Linked DNA regions of Arabidopsis thaliana. The protein of the gene in region 3 interacts with the protein of the main gene of each other region in a pairwise test. Each region holds a gene or a part of one and is shown on either strand. Other genes may lie near its edges. The genes, in order: KAT3, KAT1 and VAMP726.

Region 1 (7,344 bases), on a different chromosome or scaffold from region 3:
TTTCCTCCCATCTGCATCTGTGTCATGTTCGGAATTTGCGGTAGAAAAGCATAGCAGAAGGGGAAAGGGCATCGGTCTTATGGCTGCTTGAGAAGTTTTCTTCTTGTTTGAAGGAAAAGAGAGCATAGACTACTTCAACTTGAGAAGCTTCACGACATTTTAAAGTTGTACTTAGATAATAGTCTCCACTGTTGTTTTGTCTTTTTTTTTTTTTTTACTATAAAGAATTATACAAAAGAGTCCTTAGCTAATCTTTTTTGTATGGTTATTTTTTTGTGTTATTTGAGTTTCGAACTAAGAATTTCCTTTCAAATACTTTTTTTTTTGTTGGTTGTTACCGAATATACAAATAAAAGTCTTTGATGTACAATGCAGTGTAAAATATGAAATAATTGTTATTTTCTTTTTTTTTTAACAACTACTACTACAACTTTATTAGATTGTATAAGGTTGATACAAATAAGAGAGTAAGAAACGAGGAGGAACAATAAAAGACTGATACAGAGTAGTAGTAGACAAAACATATTGAGCCATCTTATCTGCAGCACTATTTCGTTCACGATTGACGTGGAGAAGAGTGACGTTGGATAGTTTTGCCATCCAATGACGAATATCGAACAGGAGACCCCCTATTTGAGAATGATCATCACCATTATTGATAGGTCAATCTTCTCCAGTGTTCACTGCTTTTATGGTTTTTAGTTACTTTATAAGTAGCCGTTGATGCAAATGTTTTAAAGAGAATTGTTTCAGTAATAAGAGAAAATGCTAAAATGTATGCAACAATGGTACTTTTGTTGTATGCTAATGCAATCTTCAATCAAACATAATTTTAAGTTCAAGATGTCAAAAAGATAAGAAGCAAGTTCATAATAGTGGAATTGGGAATTCGATCTTCACCTTATATTTTCATATATCTGACTTTGCATCTTTTCATAAGCACCTTACGCTAACAAAAATATAGTTTTTTTTGTATCATTATTTGTGTGGGAAGTGATAATTGTGAATATATATATTTATAAACGAATTAGAAAATATATAAATGATCGTTTTCTCGAAGAGCATCAATTTGTTCAACATGTGCACCATCTGCCATTGCAATCGTGCTTCCTCGTTTCCCCAACTTCTTCTCTGCATCCACCATAGTTTTATGAGTTCAATATAAAGTATATTAAATTTTAAAAAACTTTCAATGTATAAGTAAAGAGAAGTGACATCATAAGAGTGAAACTGACCAGCTAAGTCGAATAGAAGTTGGATAGAGTCAGGTAAAATGATAAGTCTACCGTTGGAATCACCATTGTTTTTGTTATCTTGATTAGGAGGAGCTTGTCCATGAATTATCACTCTTTTTGGAACTCCCTCTCTTCTTCTCTCTTCTACTGCAATCAAATGTCATTGTTAAAAAAAGGGTCTCTATACATACAAAAAAACATGTTCATTTTACTCTGTCTTCAACAAAAAAAAATGTCTTCTTACTCTGTCCATTTTCATGTCTTGAGACCGTAACTATTTCCTCATCGTTACTTTGTGGTGTTTCCTCTGACTGAACTGTTTCCTGTCACCAAAAAATGCGTTTTCATCTCAAACTCACTTGACAATTTTGACGAGAGGACTATGCATTATTTGTTATAAGAAGGTATATATACCTGAACCTGAGCATCTGCGTCATCTAATAAATCTCTAAGAAAAGGAATTTCTTTTTTTAACTCATCATTCAATCCCTTAAGATACTGAAATTAAAGAAAGAAACATTAATTATTAGTGTTACAATATAAACACTATATTGATGTTACTACCGTTTTGTGAATGTAAACTTACTGTCATGAAATTGGCAATGATCATTTTGGCGTCGACGTCATTATCAGACTGCACCATTTCTTTGAACTTATGATGACCAATTCTGATAACTTGTGAAAGTCGACGTGTCCTCACTGTGAAAGGCTGAGGAATGTTGAACACTACTCCTATCTCTCCTGCCATACTTCCGGGACCTAACTTCGCTAATACCTTCACCATTTATCAACCAACTCTTCATACTCTATCTCAATCTTTTAAGTTTATGAAATGTGTTTTTCTTATAACTGAAATTTGTTCAGAGTTTTACCTGTTCACTCACACCCTTGGAAGCAATTATATCCTAAAATTGCAAATTTTCTTTTAATCAGTTGAAGTCAAATATAAATAAGAATGAGTAAACAATCTTTTCGGGATAAATGAATGAGTAAACAATCTTTTCGGGATAAATGAATGAGTATGTAGAGGATATATAGATATATCATACCACTCCTCCAGATACAATTACGTAGAAATCCGTTGGAATCTCATTCTGCAAGATTATCTCCATTTTCGGCGGAAAATATTCTGCTTGTATTTGCGAAACCTACAACAACAACATAGAAGAATGAATTACCACTGCCTTGTTTAACAAGGAACAAAAGAAAATGGAATTGTTGATGGACGATCACCAGCTGGACGAGGAGGCCTTCGGGGAATCCTTTAAAAAGATAAGCTTCTTCGATGATGGAGCGGAATAGATGTTGGTTAATGCTTGATCTTATGGCCTTAGGTAAGTCTTGAAGAACCTCTTCTTGCCTTAACTCCGCGGTCTTGAACTTGAGCTGCATATGTGCAAGCATCTGTTCCCTCATTGTATCCGGTAACCTGTTCTTGCTTGTGTATCGCAATATATCATTGATCGCACTCCTCTGTTCAGCAGAAGAATGATTATTGTACGACTGGTAGAGTAAATGAATGAGTAAACAATCTTTTCGGGTTTAAGCAATGAATGATTATATACCATGGCGAATGTACGAAGAGCGCCATGGACAACTAGATTGGTCATGATACCGATGATATAAGAAGTGAGGCCAATGTTGAAAAGCATGTAGAACATGTTGAATGTCTTCTCACGGCTATTAACTGCATGCAAATCACCGTAACCCACGGTAGTGAGTGTGACAATGGACCAGTACATTGAGTAAGTGTACCCTAACCATACACTTCTTTCCTTAAAATCCTCAACTTGCGATCCTATCCATGTATCCGTAGGCCTTGGATAATGGTAGGCTATCCAGTATAAAATGCAACCCGCCAAATGTATCCAAAATATCGTTACCTGAATCAAATTTCACAATTTGAATAAAAGTCATAGATTGACATAGCCAATTTAGTGATTGTATGGACCACATATAGATAATTCAATATAAGTAAAACTTACACATAGAAGTTTGATGACTCGGATCACGAAATAGTTGAAATGTGCGTCTTTCTCTAGTCTGTTAAAAAAAGAAAGAAAGGAAGTGTAAAATAGACACACACATATGTACTATATGATAAGTGGATTTCAATATTGCATATTATATAGAAAGTAGTAAAGAAAAAACCTTTTAAAGAGTTCGGCTACACGACGGAGACGCCAGAGGCGGAGTAAATTAAGGAAGCCGAAAGCTTGGCCTCGTCCGACATCTCCGGTAATAGTTTTATAAATGAATTGAATGGGTAACGTTGATGCTACGTCCATCACAAAAGCCACGCTCTTCAAGTACCTATAATAATGCACAACATATATAATTCAATTCTAACTTATTCATTTTACTTATGTTATTTTTTTAACATATAAAAACAAATTGATTTGTTACCGTTTGGCGATGAGCTTGTGGTCGGTGACATTGAGGTAAGTAGTATTATCCAAGTAGGAAACAAAAAAGGTGAGGATGATATCAACGGCGAAGAAGAAGTCAACGACGAGATCAATGGTCAATAACGCTCCTTCGGCAGCTTTCTCGAAAGCCAACTCGAACAAAGATGCCCACGCCGAATACCCAACCAATATCACCAAAAACAATTCCCACAACCTACCATTAATTTTTATATGGAAAGATTAAAAAAAAATTAAGATATATGAATATTAATAAGAAATAACAATTTTAAGACGTAAAAATATGAAAATTAATGAACGAATCATTTGATCATTAATTTATGGACTAATAGAAACAGAAAAGTTATGAAATCTGTAAATCACTATTTATTGTTTGATAACCAAAAAACATTTCTTCGTTGTTTAGTTAGTGAGAAATGAACCTGTAACGACGATCAAAGTGAAGAACGATGAAAGGTTTGGAAGAAGGATTATCATCTTCGATGAAAGTCCCAAAAGCAGGCAAGAGACTGCTCGAAACTGACGTTATGTTCCTCACATCTTTGCTCGATCTTCTTCTGAACTGCAGTATCGATAACGGCGATCTTGCTTCCGCCGTCGACGCCGATAACGCCGTCGAAGACCTTCCTCTTCTCAACAACAACGGCAACGGTGATCTCGCCTCAGTAGTCGTCGTAGACATTCTTTTTTCCTTCTTCTTCTTCTCTCTCTTCTTCAAGCTTGATGATATATACTTCCCTCTTTTGTCTCTTTCATTTATACCTTTTTTTTTTAGTTTTGAATTATTAAAGAGGTGTTTAGATGATCAAGAAGGTGGTGAGCAAATTAAGTTGACTTTTTTTTTTACTGGTTTTTGTTTTCCCTATATTTTTTGGAAAAAAAGAATATAACAATACTATAAAACAAATTTACTTAACCATCTAATAAATTATAATTTTTCAAGATTGTAGTATGATGAATTTTACTCTTTATATATTCAACTTTGTTGTTATATATGCAGAAGGCTTCATCGACTTTTTTGACTCTTATTTACGTCTCTGTGTGTATTTAATGTGGCATCAGGTGTAGTGATTACAATCGAGATCTACAATATCAGGGGGATAAGGTTTTTTTTTTTTTTTTTCTTACGATAAATTATGTAATAATTAGCTGTTTAAATACTGGAGTTGAAAAAATTGAGGAACTCAAAAGTCAAATCTTGACGTCTTTTTTGTTGTTGTTATTAAATGAGACCGTGACAGGAATAGTAGTGTTGAAAACAAAACGAACAATAATAAACAAATGAATTACGTATCAATATCTATCATCAGTCAGAATTTAGTATGTTTTTAATACAATCATTTCAGTTTTTTTGAGATAACATATCATATATATATACTTCTTTCCACTTTCCAGTGTTGGATGTGCATGTTTACAATTTTTTTAAAAAATTCTAAGGAAAACAATGTTTTGAAATTCTAAGATACGTTTAGGTAATACATGAAGGGGGATACACTTTGTCTTCGTCCCTTAATTAGCTCCTATGAAGAATTTCACATACACAAATTAAGAAGATGCATGCAATAACAAGGCTAAAGCCATTTCTTAATAGTTCATTTGTACATAAAGTAAGTTTGTGTATGTTAAAAAAAAATTGTGTATGTACTGATGTACAGTATGTTGTTGATTGTTGATACGTAAAACCAAATAGTCAAATACTATACATTTTTACGTTTGCTCGTATAAATTAGGAAACGAAAGCATAATTGTTACGGATAAAAAAACACGAAAATCAATTAATGAAACAAAACCCTTTTGTAAAAAAGCCCATTTTTATGGAAGCCCATTTTGAGATGGACCAGTTAATGAAAAAAAATCCAAGAAACAATGAAACGAACGTTTAAGATCCATGATGGAAATTTGGGCCAAGATTATAAGAAGATCTCACCACATTTCATTTGGGCCGGGTGGGCGAAACATTCCGGGTGATCGTGTAGACCCAATTTTTTCGGTGGAAAGTGCAAAAAAAATGCAATTGGTGGATGTCGTCGCGGTTCGACCCCAAGGGATTTGGCCGGTAAAATTATTGGGAGTTGTCTTTCTCTTGCACTCTCTCTAGTTCCAAACCCTAGCAATTCCTCTGTTTTCACCATTTTCGGAGATTATCACCTTCTCCCCGATTCGCCGCCTTGTGATTACATCTACGTAAAGAGTTTCTGGTAGAAATTTTCCCTCTTTTAGCTGCAGATTGGCATCAGATTCCGTTCTGGATGTGTCGGTGATCGATTTTCCGCGTCGGTGATGATAGCTAACGGATTCGAGAGTATGGATAAAGAACGAGTCAGGAAACGTCCTCGTATGACCTGGGACGAGGCCCCAGCTGAACCAGAGGTTGCTCCTCTTTCTTCTTCTTCTTTTTTTAATTAATCTTTGACATTTAGAACTTCGAATTAGGGTTTAGAATGTGGAGGAAAGACCGAGCATTTATGTTTCTTTGGTGAGATTTTGATATGCTGACAATGAATGAATTTTGACTTTTTTGTGATAGGCTAAAAGGGCTGTGATTAAAGGACATGGAAGCGATGGGAGGATTTTGTCACCACCATTAAGGGACGATGATCGTGATGGTCATTATGTTTTCAGTTTGAGGGACAATCTCACTCCTAGATGTGAGTTTTTGATGGATAAAGTTGCTAACTTTCTATTCTATGTGAGCTAAGATATTTACCTATGTTGCTTCTATATGTGTATTGTTGCTAGTAACTCTTTGTTTTGTTTGGCACCATTGCCTTAGGGATAATCTTTTTTCGCTTTCGTTTCATTGGGATGAGAATCCTTCCTGAACATTTTTAATTGCTTAACTTACGCTATTGTGTGTTCTGTTTTGACTTTTGACAGATAAAATACTTAGCAAGATGGGTGAAGGTTAGCTGTCAAGTGGCATGGTGTGTTCGAGATAAAAAAAATGTTTATGTGAATCAAATCGTGCCATTTCAGTGAACTTGCTGGTGTTGTAGGCACATTTGGTCGGGTTTTGGAATGTTGGGATCGTGATACAAAAGAATATGTGGCAATAAAGATAATTCGAAGCATTAAGAAATACCGGGATGCAGCAATGATTGAAATTGATGTACTTCAGAAACTTGTTAAGAGTGATAAAGGCCGCACACGGTATTTATTTATCTTCTAGACTTTAGTTGATGACATCGTTTCCTTCAGAGGTGTATATCATTGCTCAGTTTCTTCATTTCTGCTTTGTCCTTGCAGCTGTGTACAGATGAAGAACTGGTTTGATTACCGAAATCATATTTGCATTGTAAGTATCCCAACTAAGCTCATTGATTTCCACCACCGTTCAAATGCATCTCTAATATTTAATTGGTTCTATGTTCAGTGACCTGTGAGGTTTGTTAGTGTTACAAATGAATGAATCATAATATTTCTGGCTACCTTTCTTTGTTTGATGCCCAAGTGACAGAAATCCAATTCCGTGTATAGTGTTTGTGTAGTTTGTTTACTCATGTGGATTTTTTCGAAGTTTGGAACTAAACGGAACCTTCCTGTGAATGAACTCTAATGGTGATACCAGGTGTTCGAGAAGCTTGGGCCAAGTTTGTTTGACTTTCTAAAGAGAAATAAATACTCCGCATTTCCTCTGGCCCTTGTTCGGGATTTTGGATGCCAGCTTTTGGAATCTGTAGCAT
Region 2 (7,446 bases), on a different chromosome or scaffold from region 3:
ATGAATCATTCGTCTTCTTCAAAAGCAGTGACGGGGAAAGTACGTGATAGTCCCGTAGGATTAGCAAAAGTGATTTGAGTCGGATCTTGATGATTAACAAAGATCTCAGAGATCGTAACCCAAATCAAAATCTCTTTGCTCTTGATTCCCGTGAGCTGACTCATCCGACGATTCTCAAGGATCGCAGTAACCTCCGAATCGTAAGATACGTTTCGTCCAATGGCTTTAAACCGATGTTGAACCTTGTTCTTGATCTTGATCCAGACATAACCGGTTGATTTGTTGTGACCGATCTCTGTCATGTTGTCTAGAGGAAGAAGACCTTTGGGTAGATTCATGGTTGATAAAATCTCTTTGGCTTTCTGTTTGCAGTTTGATTCGCCATTGCAGATCTCTGCTCCTTCTCTTTGATCTGATTTCGTTTCTTGAGACGACATTTCGATGAGATTTGTGGTGGTGACTTTTTGGGGACTTTTTGCTGGATTTATATAGAGGTGTGAGTTTTGGAATTGAATGACGAAATTGGGTCTGTGGAAGAGGAAGGAGAATAGTATTAGAGAGGGTAACATGGAAATTTCGTATAAAATGAGGTGGGACGCATGCAGTTCATGTTCGTGGAATAATTTATTTTATTCGTTGATTGAATATAAAATACATTCGAGAATTTCTTATTTTGATTTTTTTTTATTACAAACATGTTGAAGTGTTTAAATTTAAAATAAATCAAACTGAATATACGCTTAATTTTCTGAAAAAAAAATTTCGTCTTTTTAATAGGTAAATTTCTTAAAATCTTTATTGATAATAGAGAAAAATAAAATTTTCTTGATTTATCATGTGAAACAAGTTCAAAGCAGAAGACTCGTGTAGAATAATGTTTTGTGTTCAAACAGAACGGTATCAATGTATCATAGTCAAGCTGTGAAATAAGATTGTGTTTTTGTGTCAATTAATGTCAGTTTTGTATACTCTGCTTTTGATAATCTAGACTTTTCTATGAAACCGGGTAAAAATACATTATCTGCAGATATACATGCTCTATAAATGAAGTCGAGTTTTCAAACTCAATTTGATGAAAAATACAAATGATCACCATCCCAAATGACATCTAAATCATCAATCTCAGCGTTGTCCGCATTGGTGATCTTTGTGAAGTTGCAGCCTCCAAACTTCTCACTTGCAAGTCTTAGAAGCTCTTCTATGGATGATGGTAAGAGTATCAACTTCCCGTTCTTGCTCTCAGACATCATGTGGATGGTAACTCTCTTTTCTTCTCGTTTGCATGGCTTGATGATTTGGTTGCTTGAGCTGCAATATGGATCTTTTTTCGATGAATCGTTAGCGTAACTTCTTCCAGCGGTTTCACTACTTGATCTTTCCACTTTGGCTCTCTCTATCTTTTGTTCCTTAAGTATCTTCTTAACCATTTCAGTATCTTCCTTGTGAATCGCATCCATTAGAGCAGTGTCGGAAGTCGGATTCGTAACATCTAAACCATAGCCATCTTTTCTTGAATCTCTCCACTCTTCCCATCCCATGCTTTTGAAATCTCTGTTTTCGTGACCACTAGTATTCGAATCATCTATTGCTATTGACTGTTGCCCTCTAAGTTTCTGAAAGTTTTATAGCCAAAAATGAGTTTAGAGTTTGTTTTAACTATAGAAACATTTCTATAATAACTCACATACCATGAAGAGATTGTTCATGATGACTCGTCCATCGTCAGCATGAGCATGCATCGCACTCATCAGCGATGTTCTGCTTATCCGCAGTATTTGAGATAGCTCGGTTGTTCTTACTGTGAATGGTTGTGGTCTATAGTATAAAACTCCAACCTCTCCAAATGTTTCTCCAATTACTGCTTTCCCTTGAAACTGATCATGTCCATCAACGTAGACAGTGAAGTCCTGTACAATACACAATGTTACAAGATTCCTAACTGTTATTCACATATTTACATATAACCGATATATTTCACTCACCACTGCTCCTGACACCAGAATGTAAAGATCAGTAGGAGCTTCGTTTTGTAGAATTATATCTTCTTTTGGTGGGAAATACTCAGCGTCTATATCTGAAACCTTGAACATGAAAAGGTACATGGAGTTGGTCACCTCTTACATATTAAACGTTAAGAAAAAAGGTTAGAGAATACAATTTTACCAATTGAAAGAGGAAGTTACGAGAAACTCCTTGAAAGAGGTAAATGTTGTGAACAATGGGGAAGAATAAATAGTTTGCAATGCTTGACCGGATTGCTTTTGGCAGATTGTTCAAGGTCTCTTGTTGTTTCAAGCCCTCTGTTTTGAACTTTAAGCAAATGTGTGATAACATTTGATCTTGTATGTCATGTGGGAGTTGATTTCTTGAAGCAAACTCTGAAGCAGCTCTCACTGAATCCCTCTGTTTAACACAAAGCAATAAAGCATTACAGATTAGTAATACTCAATATTATTTTAGTCAACTTAAAATACTCAAAAGTACGTAAACCCCACGCTATTACCCGAACCTTTATCCGAAATGAACATGCCTAGACTAAAAGAAAGTGATCAAACTTACAAAGGTTCTGGTTCGGCTAGTCCAATGAACGACGAGGTTGGTCATATTTCCAATGAGGTAAGCTGTCAAACCGAGGTTGAACATCATGAAGAAAATGTCAAAAAGCATTTCTCTTGGGTTCTCAGCATGAAAATCTCCATATCCCGTGGTCGTTAATGTCGTAATGGACCAGTAAAGAGCAGTCACATATCTATTCCATAGACTTGCTTCTTTGAAATTTGGATACACAGCTCCAATCCATGTCTTTCTTGGATTAGGATATCTATCTGCAATCAGGTAGTTGAAACATCCAGCACAATGTATAGCGAACAAAGTGACCTGAGATCAACAAGCACGTGTAAGTCACTAGCTTTAATATGGTGTCCATTTAAAAGACAAATAAACCCTAAGAATAGATCACCTAAATGGACAGCCCTAAGCTTAAAATGCTTTATTATAAGTGAGATTAGTTTTGCTCTGTTTTGGAACTAACCGAAATGAGTTTTGTGCAACGTATCCAGAAATAGTTGAAACGGATATCTTTCTCAAGCCTGAAGCAAAGGTAAGAGTTAGTTAGACTTGAGTAAGCACTTTCTTAGTTAAACCCTAAGAAGAGTATGGTCTCTTAGTTAGCATAGAAGCAAACCTTGCAAATAGCGAGCTAACTCGCCGGAGACGCCATAACCTGAGCATGCTAAGAATTCTGAATCCTAGTTCGCTTCCGTTGTAGTTAAACAAGAGGCTTAGTGGCTGAAATGGTGCTGTGGAACAAACATCGAAAGCGAACCACGTCGAAAGGTACCTGAAAATGTTACAATTTCAAAACATACTTTGAGATTCTCATTCACTTATAAAAGGTTTCAAGTTAAGAAAAAAGGTTTCTCACCTTATTGCTATTTTCTTAGGACTGTCAACTAGAAGATAGGAGTGGCTATCGAGATAAGCGACGAAGAAGGTGAGAATAATATCAATGGCGAAGAAGCCATTAACAATGTTGTCGATGATGAAAATCGCGTCTTTTTTATAGGTGATGAAAGCAAATTGAAATGGGCAAATCCAAGCTGAGTAAATAACTAGTAATACTAGCCACATCTCCCACGCTCTGTTTCAACAAACAGAGGATTGAAAACAGAGTCTTTAAATATACTTATAACGTGAGTAAAAACAGAGTAGTTAAAACTACTTATAACCTGAATAGTTGAAAACATAGTTGAAAACAGAGTACTTAAAACAGAGTTTAGTAGATGAGAAAATTACCTGTAACGTGGATTAAAAGGAGAGATTATGTGTTTGCGGAGCTTAGTAGATTGGTTGATCCTGGCTCCAAGAGATGGTAGAAGATCGGCAGAGAGGAAACTACTCTGTTTTATGGTGTCTATATTGTATTCCTCGACGCAGAATCTTTCGAAGAAATTTCGAGTCCAAGAGATCGACATCTTTTTGATGATCTCTAAAGACAAAGAAACTGTTATACCTTTTTAGGCTTTCTTCTTGGCAAGGTAGTTATAAATAGTGATGAAGCTTGTGACAAAGCAACACGGGGAAACTTCTCTTTTCTTCTTCTGTTGGGACCTTTATGGCAACTTGTTGTGACCCATTTGTTATCTTTTTTTCTTTTTGGTTGAGAATTTGGCAGGGAAAGGTTAACGGCTTTAAGAAGACTCAGTGCACCATTAATGCTGCAAAACCAATATGGTTTCGATTCGAGAAGCAACAATGGTGAAGAAAAGGCGTAAAATGCGGAACGGAGTAAGTGTGAGATGATCAAAAATCTTGAGAGATGAGACAGAATTTAAGTGGCAAACATTGAGCTTTTGCGGTAGATATCATCATATTTTGTTTCTTTTTTGACACGAAAATATAAGATTCGAAAGAGGAGGAAGAAGAAGAGGAAACGCAATCTGTTTCTTTGGAGGTTTCTACTTGATGAGATTCATGACTATCAGACTATGGTGTGATGTCCACTTTCCTAGCATTTGAAGGTGGGAGTGATATATAGACATAGAGACACATATAAAGGAAGGAAGGTACGTTTGGTGTTTGGTAAGTGTTAATGGGAGGACAAAAATGGGCATGAAAATTATGGTGTGTTCATTTCAGGAATCCAGAAATGGACCAAGCAAAATAAAGAAAATAAAATGGCATTTGACAGAATATGTAAGGGGCCAGAGTATATTTTTTTTTCTTTCTTCGAAAAAAGTTTTATTTTCTCATCAACTATTCTTAAAGTATATGTCTCTATTTTATTTTCTAGTCCCCAAAACCAATCATAAGTTTATTGTACTCATTGCAAAAAAAAAAAAAAAAAAGTTATTGTTCTCATTTTGGATTGAGTTTTACTAAATAGCCATAAACTTGGAAGATTATTTCCAAAACACTCATATAGAAAATATAGTAGTCCATTTAATCTTTTTGCATGGGAAGTGAAACTCTAAGATTATTTTACCGAAACAGCTTATATAATGTATTATTATTATAGAAGCTACGTGAACTCTCCACGTGGATAAACCGAATCTAGGTAGCGAATGAGGCTCTCTAAACAGTGAAGTCCCAAACTCTCTTCTCACTCGGACACACTCGCTGGCTCGCAAGCAATATGTCTTTGTTGTGTTTTGACTTTGGTTTATACTTAGTACTTAGGAGAAGACACACCAATAGGAGATCTTCACGTGGTGGGTTTTTTCATGTGTGTACACTTGATTTCTTGTCCGTCCCATACTTCTCATTCCCGTCGGTATGGTGGCCCCTCCCTTCTCCTTCATGTTCTGATTCCATTTACTAATTTCTTATAAACCCTTTCTAGATATATGTATGTTTTCATTTCTCTAGTGTGCTAGACTCTTTATATCTTAATCTCACTAATAAAGGAAAAATACGTAATTTATAAATTTTAACAAAATAATAAACTTGATTTCTAAATTCTTAATTAAGAATTTAAAAATGACATCTTACTCATAGGAGGAAATATATGAAATGATAAATCCCATAAACTGTGAAAGAACAAATCTAGAGTTTAAAACACAACATGATAAAATATATATAACATGGCTATAAATATTTTTAACAAAAAGGTGATAAATTATAGATGAATTGTACATTGACTACATTCTGTGCAAATGAACATGTGCTAACCTTTTCTAATGCGGTTATAATTGACATGGGAAAACAAAAGAAAAGAAAAAAGAATCAGGAATTTTTTCTACAATAGGAACGAGAAATGAGAGAAAACAAATTGAAACAACTAAGAATAAAGTTATGAAAAATCATGGTTTATAATAAAACACATTTGTATACGAATATTGATTTTTTGGTAATCCTAAATATTTGACTAAACTTTTGTTTTCGTTCGCTAGTATAGAATGCCAAGTATAAATTCTTCAAACCTTTCCGCCAAATTTGTATTATTAAATCATTCCAAAGCTTTTTGTTTCTGCGTCGATCTGAGCCCGTTCGAATGTATCTTTCATGATTCCTTGTTGATATTTTGTTTATTGTCTTCCTGAATCCTAATATCATTATAGAAACAAAACAAAACAAAATAAAGTAAATGAGAGATTCCTAATATAAACATAACATGAGCTAACTTTAATATTATTTTCTCGTGATTAATTAGTTTTGCCAATAAAAGTTTTATATTAGGTTTTATGATCTAACTTACTTTTTAAAAGATGATTATAACTATTGAAAAATGAATTATTTCGGCTTTCAAATTTTAGTATTTTGTGATTTTTTTTTTGTTTTTTAATTTCGGTTATTCATATATTTCAAATCAAAAGGAATTACTGGGTTACTAAACCTTGCCTTAAAAGACCAGAAATCGTAAACTGCTTTAAGTTTGCTATTTGCTGTCTTCCTAGTGCAAGTGGGGTTGTTCATGTTAACTGTTTAAATTTAAGTTTAAGCTGTCACATGCATGCTAAGAGTAGTGTAGGGTCTAAAAATTTGTTAGTTATTTTTGTTGTTGTGGGCCATCATAAGTCTTGGAATCGGTTGGTCTAAACCTGTTTTATACCTTCTTCAAACTACATTGGAGCTGATTTTCATTTTATATTCATGTAAGATCATCGAGTTCTAGTAACTTGATTTTGAGGTCTCAAAAGAGAATATAAACTGTATATGGTTGGCGAGTGGAACCATGAGCCATCGTCAAACATTATTTTTTGATGGTTAGCCGCGAATTAATCTTCAAAACCGTATTTGTAGTCATATTGTATTATAGTTGGTAGGTTTTGGATTGGTAGTTTTAGTAACGACCAGATTGAACCATGCTGGTCTATTCCACTACAATTTTTTTTCTTTTCTGGTTAAATATGTTATCTAGAAAATCTAGATTTTTCTTGGGATTTAGTACCCTACATTATACGTTGCACATTATTAACGGGTCCAATACTAGATAACAGATAGAGACATTTTCCAGTAAATCTTCCATTAAGTTAAAAGTCAACTATTCTATTCTTAACCCTTCTCATGATCATATTAGACTGTAAAGGCAGTTGAGACTTTTATTGAAAATTTAGAGTTTTTCTATTATCAAAATGCGTCTAATTATTATATTTTTTATTTTTTTTGTTATGAAAACTTTAAAAATCTTAATGGATGTATTATAATTGTGTCTTATAAATAAAAACAGTTTAACATTAACTGTAATTATAGTCGTTATGGATGGAATATCGTCCCGGGTTGATCCTCTTTCTCATGCTACTAAGAGGAGAAAGATCTGATTTAACACAAATAAAAACAAGATAATTTTCCACAATATCAACGGTACAAGAACAACATGATAAACGAGTCATAGACACTGCATAAGTGATTTTGTTTGTGTAATGTCGGCATGATTTATATGAGATTTGTTTTTGTCGTCTACATTAAAAGTTAGGCTTGATATATGGGTCCTTCCATTTCTTATTG
Region 3 (5,800 bases):
TGAGGACAAATAACAACTACGGACTAGATTTGAAAAAAAAACAAAAAAAACTGGCCAAGTCGGAGTCGTGTGAGAATAATGGGGACGGATAGGGTACGTGGCACTATTTTATAGGTTAGAAAAACGACCAGCCCGCGGTATTTTAGATCCAGTTGACGATAATGAACCAAGACGAGAATCTGTCTAGGTTCCTTCTTCTTCTTCCACAATATAATTATATCTTTCTTCACACACCCCTAGAGAGAGAAAGGAAGGTGTTACCGGATTTAGGAGAGATAAAGAAGGTTTCTTCATTTAGAAACAGAGACACGAAGTTTGCGATGATGATGATGATTCAGAGAAGAGGAGGTGAGAGACAAGACTCGTCGGCGGCGGCGTACAACGTTGTCCATAAGTTGCCTCACGGAGACAGTCCTTATGTCCGAGCGAAGCATGTTCAGGTAAATTTAATATACATATGTGTGACTTTATCCAAAGGAATCGAGTTTATATTGATTTTTACTGAGATTTTGGATTTGATGTTTGGTTCAGTTGGTGGAGAAAGATGCAGAAGCAGCGATAGAGTTGTTTTGGATAGCGATTAAAGCGAGAGATAGAGTTGATAGTGCTCTTAAAGACATGGCCTTGTTAATGAAACAACAGAACAGAGCTGAAGAAGCCATTGACGCTATTCAATCCTTTAGAGATCTTTGTTCAAGACAAGCTCAAGAGTCATTAGACAATGTCCTCATCGATCTATATAAGGTAACTAAACTCTGACCGAGACCATTCTCTTGTTTCTCTCGGTTACCGTTTTATTAGATAGTGAAATTGACAAACTTGGGATTCCGAATTTTGTTGAACAGAAATGTGGGAGAATAGAAGAGCAAGTTGAGTTATTGAAGCAAAAGCTTTGGATGATATATCAAGGAGAAGCATTCAATGGCAAACCAACAAAGACTGCGAGATCTCATGGCAAGAAGTTTCAGGTCACCGTCGAGAAGGAAACCTCTAGGATCTTGGTAAGACTAATAATCTCACGACTAGTCTTTAGTTGTGATTAGATTTCTCAAGTCTCTTGATCAGTGAACTGATGGAATTTGAATGAATGTGGTGTTACAGGGGAACTTGGGATGGGCTTATATGCAACTAATGGACTATACAGCAGCTGAAGCTGTGTATCGGAAAGCTCAATTGATAGAGCCAGATGCAAACAAGGCTTGCAATTTATGCACATGTCTCATCAAGCAAGGGAAGCACGATGAGGCGAGGTCGATTCTCTTTCGTGATGTACTAATGGAGAACAAAGAAGGGTCTGGTGATCCGAGGTTGATGGCTCGGGTTCAAGAGCTATTGAGTGAGCTAAAGCCACAGGAAGAAGAAGCAGCGGCTTCTGTGTCTGTGGAATGTGAAGTTGGTATAGATGAGATAGCGGTTGTCGAAGGACTTGATGAGTTTGTGAAGGAATGGAGGAGGCCTTATAGGACAAGAAGACTTCCGATTTTCGAAGAGATCTTACCACTGAGAGATCAATTGGCTTGTTGATGATTCTCTGTGTGTTTGGATTGATGTTTGAATACTGAATAGGAACCTTTTTGGGTAGAAGAATGTAGTGAGTGAATAGAGTTTACCTCTTGTAAGCTTTTTCGGGTGTCGTTGTCTGTTATTACCGCAATGTCAAATGATCTCATTCCAAAAGTAATTCCAAAAGTAGTTGATGTTATATCCATAGATATAACACTATCAGATAATGTGTCAAGTTGGTTGGAGGAATATAAAACCGATCATTAGACTTGTAGATTACAAGAGCATAAAGGCCTAACCTATATAATAAGTAAACACAAGAAAAAGCTTAAATCTCTCTTCCAAACAGTTGATTTCCTAAGGATCATTCTGGGTACCACGTCAATTTTTGTTTGCCTAAATAAAAGAAGAAGGAAAAATACAAAAGAGAAGGATAAAAGGGGATAACTATACCGGGATGGTTCTAATTAGCTTAGTAGCTATGTGGGTGGTCTGATCCACCGGAATCGAGTTCTTAAGTACACTTGAAGCCATGGCAAACCGACAAAATGATGATGAGAATCAAAGCGACAATGATGCCAAAGACTATGAGCTTTATCTTCATGTTTTCGAACCACAACTTTCTTTTCATCTTTGTTCCTTGTGTTCTAAAATCTTGTGCCTATTAACAAACAGAAGAAGAAGAGCATGTTACCACTAGATAATAGTGATGTAGTGTCTCTTATACTGTATTTGAGATGTGGTTATTATTAACCTGTGAGCGAAGGTTCTCAGTTTTGTCTACTAATAGCTCGATTTTCTCTCCACGGTCAAGGACCTGCCATAGGATTGAATTGCAGAAAACACATTCAGCTTACAGGTGAGGAGTTGTCGATGAAAAACATGGATAATTTAGTCTAACCTTCTCAATATTCTCCATCATAACACCCTTCACTTCAGTCACCTGAGCCTTAACTTTGGAAAGTTTGCTAATCTCCTCAGGATGATCCGCACAGTACTGCATGTGCTCCTTCAATTTAGACCTACATTCATTACAACAAAACCATTTAAAACACACATCCACAAAGATGGAATTGAAAAGAAATGCTCTGACTAAAAATGTTAAAAGTACCCGAATTCTTTGTTCAAGCTGTTGGCTTTAGCAGTGGAAGCTTTTCCACCACCGTATCTCTTGTTGAAATCCTCCTTGACTCTCTCCAAGAAAGCCATTGGTATCTGCCTCCCAGCAGATTCAATAACAACAACACAATAGGCTGCATAACAACAGAGGGAAATGAGAAATCTTATTGTCACATTCCAACTAAAGCAAATTCGTGCATTGGACAACCAAAGCTTTCCAAACATAAAAATCTTCACAATAAACATTCCAAAGAAGCCATGCATAAAGCTGATTAAAATCAGAACGAAAACAACAGATTGCATATCCAATCAAGACATGGCATTGATTAGAAGAAAATCTGAATATAACACAATGCCACAAGAATCGAGAGCAACGAATATCCTACGAAATTCAAAGCTACACTGTTCTCGAACATTTGATTTCGAAACTAAGCATTCATAAGAAAACAGATGAACCAAGGCATAAACAGAGAAATACAGAGCAAAATCGACACAGATCGGGAGATAGAGACTTACTGAAGCCATTATCAGCGAGATAATTGAAAGTGTGACCGTCGCAATTGTAGGTAAATTTGTTGTTCGAGGACGGAAGTTTCTGGAGACACTGAGCGGCGACGGAGGTGAAATTGCCCTTGAACTCGGTATACTCGGCGAGGATCACCGTACCGCGAGCGACGAAGCTGTAGATCAACGATTGTTGTCCCATTCTTCCTTTTATCCAGATGAGAGAAAGATAAAAAAACGAAACCTAAGAACACCACAAAAATCCGATCGAATTGATGAGAGAGATTAGTAAGCGATGTAAAAATACACAAGGGAACGAGGGGTAGCGATGGAGAAAGCAGGACGCAGAGATCGGAGAAGAGAAACTATATGAGAGCGCTGGATTTGCGCGAGTAACAGAGACATTATTTTCCCTTTGGTAACGTTCAAATTTTGAATTTTTAAATATAAAAAGTAAATAAAAAGAAAAATTCATCATTTGTATAGTCGAAAATTGCCTTAATAAACTTTATTTTGGTAAATAATTCACGTCTAATTAATAATAGTATCTTCATGTTTTTACACCACGGTGGCTCGTTTTTCAATTCAAATGTGAAATGTTTATCAATGAGCATTTTAAAAAACAAATATATATATATATATATATATTATATATTGATTTTTTATAAAGAAAATTGCGATGTGTAAGGGATATTTGAGTTGTTAAATTTTCTATAAATTATATGTTATGTTACTTAAAAGAACGTTCAATTGATAATGTTGCAAACCTTCCTACCAAAAAAATTAAAATAATGTTGCAAACCTTTTCTTTCATTCCAATTCACTAACCTTCTATTCTAACCACAACCTAACTACCTAAATTTCAATTATTTGATTGTTGATCAAAATCTTTAGGAACACGTTAAACAAATTAATTAGCAGGTTCTAAACAATGCAGAGCAATTGTAGATGACAAGAGATAACGGTAGAAGTTCGAATTTTGTTGCTGTAACAAGATACTATGACTATGAGCTCCCCCCGTCCATTAAGAATTAAGAAATTTGGTTAATTACAACATTTGTTTTTATGTTTAAGCCTTTTGTTCGTAACTGAGCTAATACTGGAATCACTGATCAATGATGAATTTGGAAAAAAAGATATTTTGAGGAAGACAGAGACAGACTCTCTTCGACCATGGGACCTGAACTTGTCCTAAAGTTGGTAATTACTAATTTGTGCCATCGGCAGAGTCCACGAGCTTTTTGGCTGGATCCGGGCGGGTCCAACTTTCTCGACATTTGTTTGATCTCTCCGTTTTGAAATTGTTTTTTTTTAGTCCTTAAATTCAAGGTTTTATACTATTTTTGACCCAATCTGACTACCTTAAATGACAACTTTACCCTTGCCCGCTTTTCAACTTTTTCTTCTCCCATGTCCACTTTAGTCCTCGTTTTGTTCTTTCATAGTCTTCTAGATCTGTAGTTTTTTTCCGCGACCGCCCAAAAAATTCTCTGATCAGACGGTCGATTGGATCGGAGATTTAAGGTAAAGAAAAAATGGCGCAACAATCGTTGATCTACAGTTTCGTAGCTCGCGGCACGGTGATCCTCGTTGAGTTCACTGATTTCAAAGGTAATTTCACCTCAATCGCTGCTCAGTGCCTCCAGAAGCTTCCGTCTTCGAACAACAAGTTCACCTACAACTGCGACGGTCATACCTTCAATTACCTTGTCGAAGATGGATTCAGTAAGTCACTTTTCGTTTGATCTATGCATAGGTTTTAATCTTACACCATTCGGTGCTTACCTCGATTTGTTTCTAGGTTTATTTGCCTAACCTATCGATTCGTATGGATTTGTGCATCCTGAGTAGTCTGATTTCACTGAGGAACCGCATGAACCAAGCTTTTAGGGTTAGATCTATATTTATTAAACGCAATAAATCTCTGTAGAGTCTTACCTGTATAATCACTCAGATTTGGACAGAATCCGTGGTAGCTTTGGTTGATACTATGTGGAAGAACACCAACATTGATCTGAGACAGGGTTTTTACTGGTTGCTTTATTTGCGTATAGTTTCCTAGGTCATGGGTTTTGGCTGGCTTCATTTTTCAATGAAAATCTGGGGTCTTATTGTAAGCTTTTGTGACTATCCTTTAGTTGTTGTAGCCATATCAATTTCATATTAAATCAATGTCACCTGATTATCCCGTAAGGGAAGACAAGGAGATTGATTTTGTTCCTGTTGTACAGCCTATTGTGTTGTTGCGGTTGATTCTGCTGGGAGGCAAATTCCCATGTCCTTTTTGGAAAGAGTAAAAGAAGATTTTAACAAGCGATATGGTGGTGGAAAGGCTGCAACTGCTCAAGCAAACAGCTTGAATAAGGAGTTTGGGTACTTTTTCATTATCTCTTCTATTTGGATGATCTTCTCTTTTATATTCGTGGACTGACTCTTTTTGGTAACTTTGAAGCTCTAAACTGAAAGAGCATATGCAGTATTGCATGGATCATCCTGATGAGATTAGCAAGCTTGCTAAGGTGAAGGCGCAAGTGTCAGAAGTTAAGGGTGTAATGATGGAAAACATTGAGAAGGTTTGAATCTGACCCTTTCTGTCCTCAATGTATATATTTACATCTATGGTTGACCCATCTGAAAGAGCTCATCTAGTCATACTAAGTTACTGTGAAATCAA

The links.
Region 1: the proteins of VAMP726 (region 3) and KAT3 interact in a two-hybrid assay, tested with the Arabidopsis thaliana proteins (one study listed by BioGRID).
Region 2: the proteins of VAMP726 (region 3) and KAT1 interact in a two-hybrid assay, tested with the Arabidopsis thaliana proteins (one study listed by BioGRID).

Annotation. Positions count from the first base shown.
Region 1 is NC_003075.7:15,750,455-15,757,798, forward strand, and holds KAT3 (potassium channel protein), read right to left. Parts: upstream 4,594-7,344; 5' UTR 4,344-4,593; coding exon 4,084-4,343; intron 3,858-4,083; coding exon 3,642-3,857; intron 3,549-3,641; coding exon 3,387-3,548; intron 3,279-3,386; coding exon 3,221-3,278; intron 3,119-3,220; coding exon 2,801-3,118; intron 2,709-2,800; coding exon 2,469-2,708; intron 2,384-2,468; coding exon 2,285-2,383; intron 2,141-2,284; coding exon 2,108-2,140; intron 2,011-2,107; coding exon 1,822-2,010; intron 1,734-1,821; coding exon 1,650-1,733; intron 1,559-1,649; coding exon 1,480-1,558; intron 1,383-1,479; coding exon 1,236-1,382; intron 1,132-1,235; coding exon 1,028-1,131; 3' UTR 817-1,027; downstream 1-816. Other genes in the region: AME3 (Protein kinase superfamily protein), read left to right, coding at 5,942-6,031, 6,189-6,309, 6,539-6,565, 6,658-6,811, 6,908-6,956, 7,230-7,344. UniProt on the Arabidopsis thaliana protein: Probable modulatory (alpha) subunit of inward-rectifying potassium channels. Could mediate potassium uptake from the soil solution by plant roots in association with AKT1.
Region 2 is NC_003076.8:18,742,588-18,750,033, forward strand, and holds KAT1 (1), read right to left. Parts: upstream 4,820-7,446; 5' UTR 3,975-4,819; coding exon 3,796-3,974; intron 3,641-3,795; coding exon 3,425-3,640; intron 3,341-3,424; coding exon 3,185-3,340; intron 3,090-3,184; coding exon 3,032-3,089; intron 2,878-3,031; coding exon 2,560-2,877; intron 2,404-2,559; coding exon 2,164-2,403; intron 2,082-2,163; coding exon 1,983-2,081; intron 1,908-1,982; coding exon 1,689-1,907; intron 1,614-1,688; coding exon 1,065-1,613; 3' UTR 923-1,064; downstream 1-922. Other genes in the region: AT5G46230 (hypothetical protein (Protein of unknown function, DUF538)), read right to left, coding at 6-437. UniProt on the Arabidopsis thaliana protein: Highly selective inward-rectifying potassium channel. This voltage-gated channel could mediate long-term potassium influx into guard cells leading to stomatal opening.
Region 3 is NC_003070.9:1,332,288-1,338,087, reverse strand, and holds VAMP726 (vesicle-associated membrane protein 726), read right to left. Parts: upstream 3,490-5,800; 5' UTR 3,329-3,489; coding exon 3,139-3,328; intron 2,757-3,138; coding exon 2,615-2,756; intron 2,526-2,614; coding exon 2,405-2,525; intron 2,321-2,404; coding exon 2,258-2,320; intron 2,165-2,257; coding exon 2,018-2,164; 3' UTR 1,611-2,017; exon of another isoform or gene 1,532-1,610; 3' UTR 1,525-1,531; downstream 1-1,524. Other genes in the region: AT1G04770 (Tetratricopeptide repeat (TPR)-like superfamily protein), read left to right, coding at 321-440, 532-744, 846-1,001, 1,102-1,524; VAMP721 (vesicle-associated membrane protein 721), read left to right, coding at 4,662-4,851, 5,358-5,499, 5,579-5,699. UniProt on the Arabidopsis thaliana protein: Involved in the targeting and/or fusion of transport vesicles to their target membrane.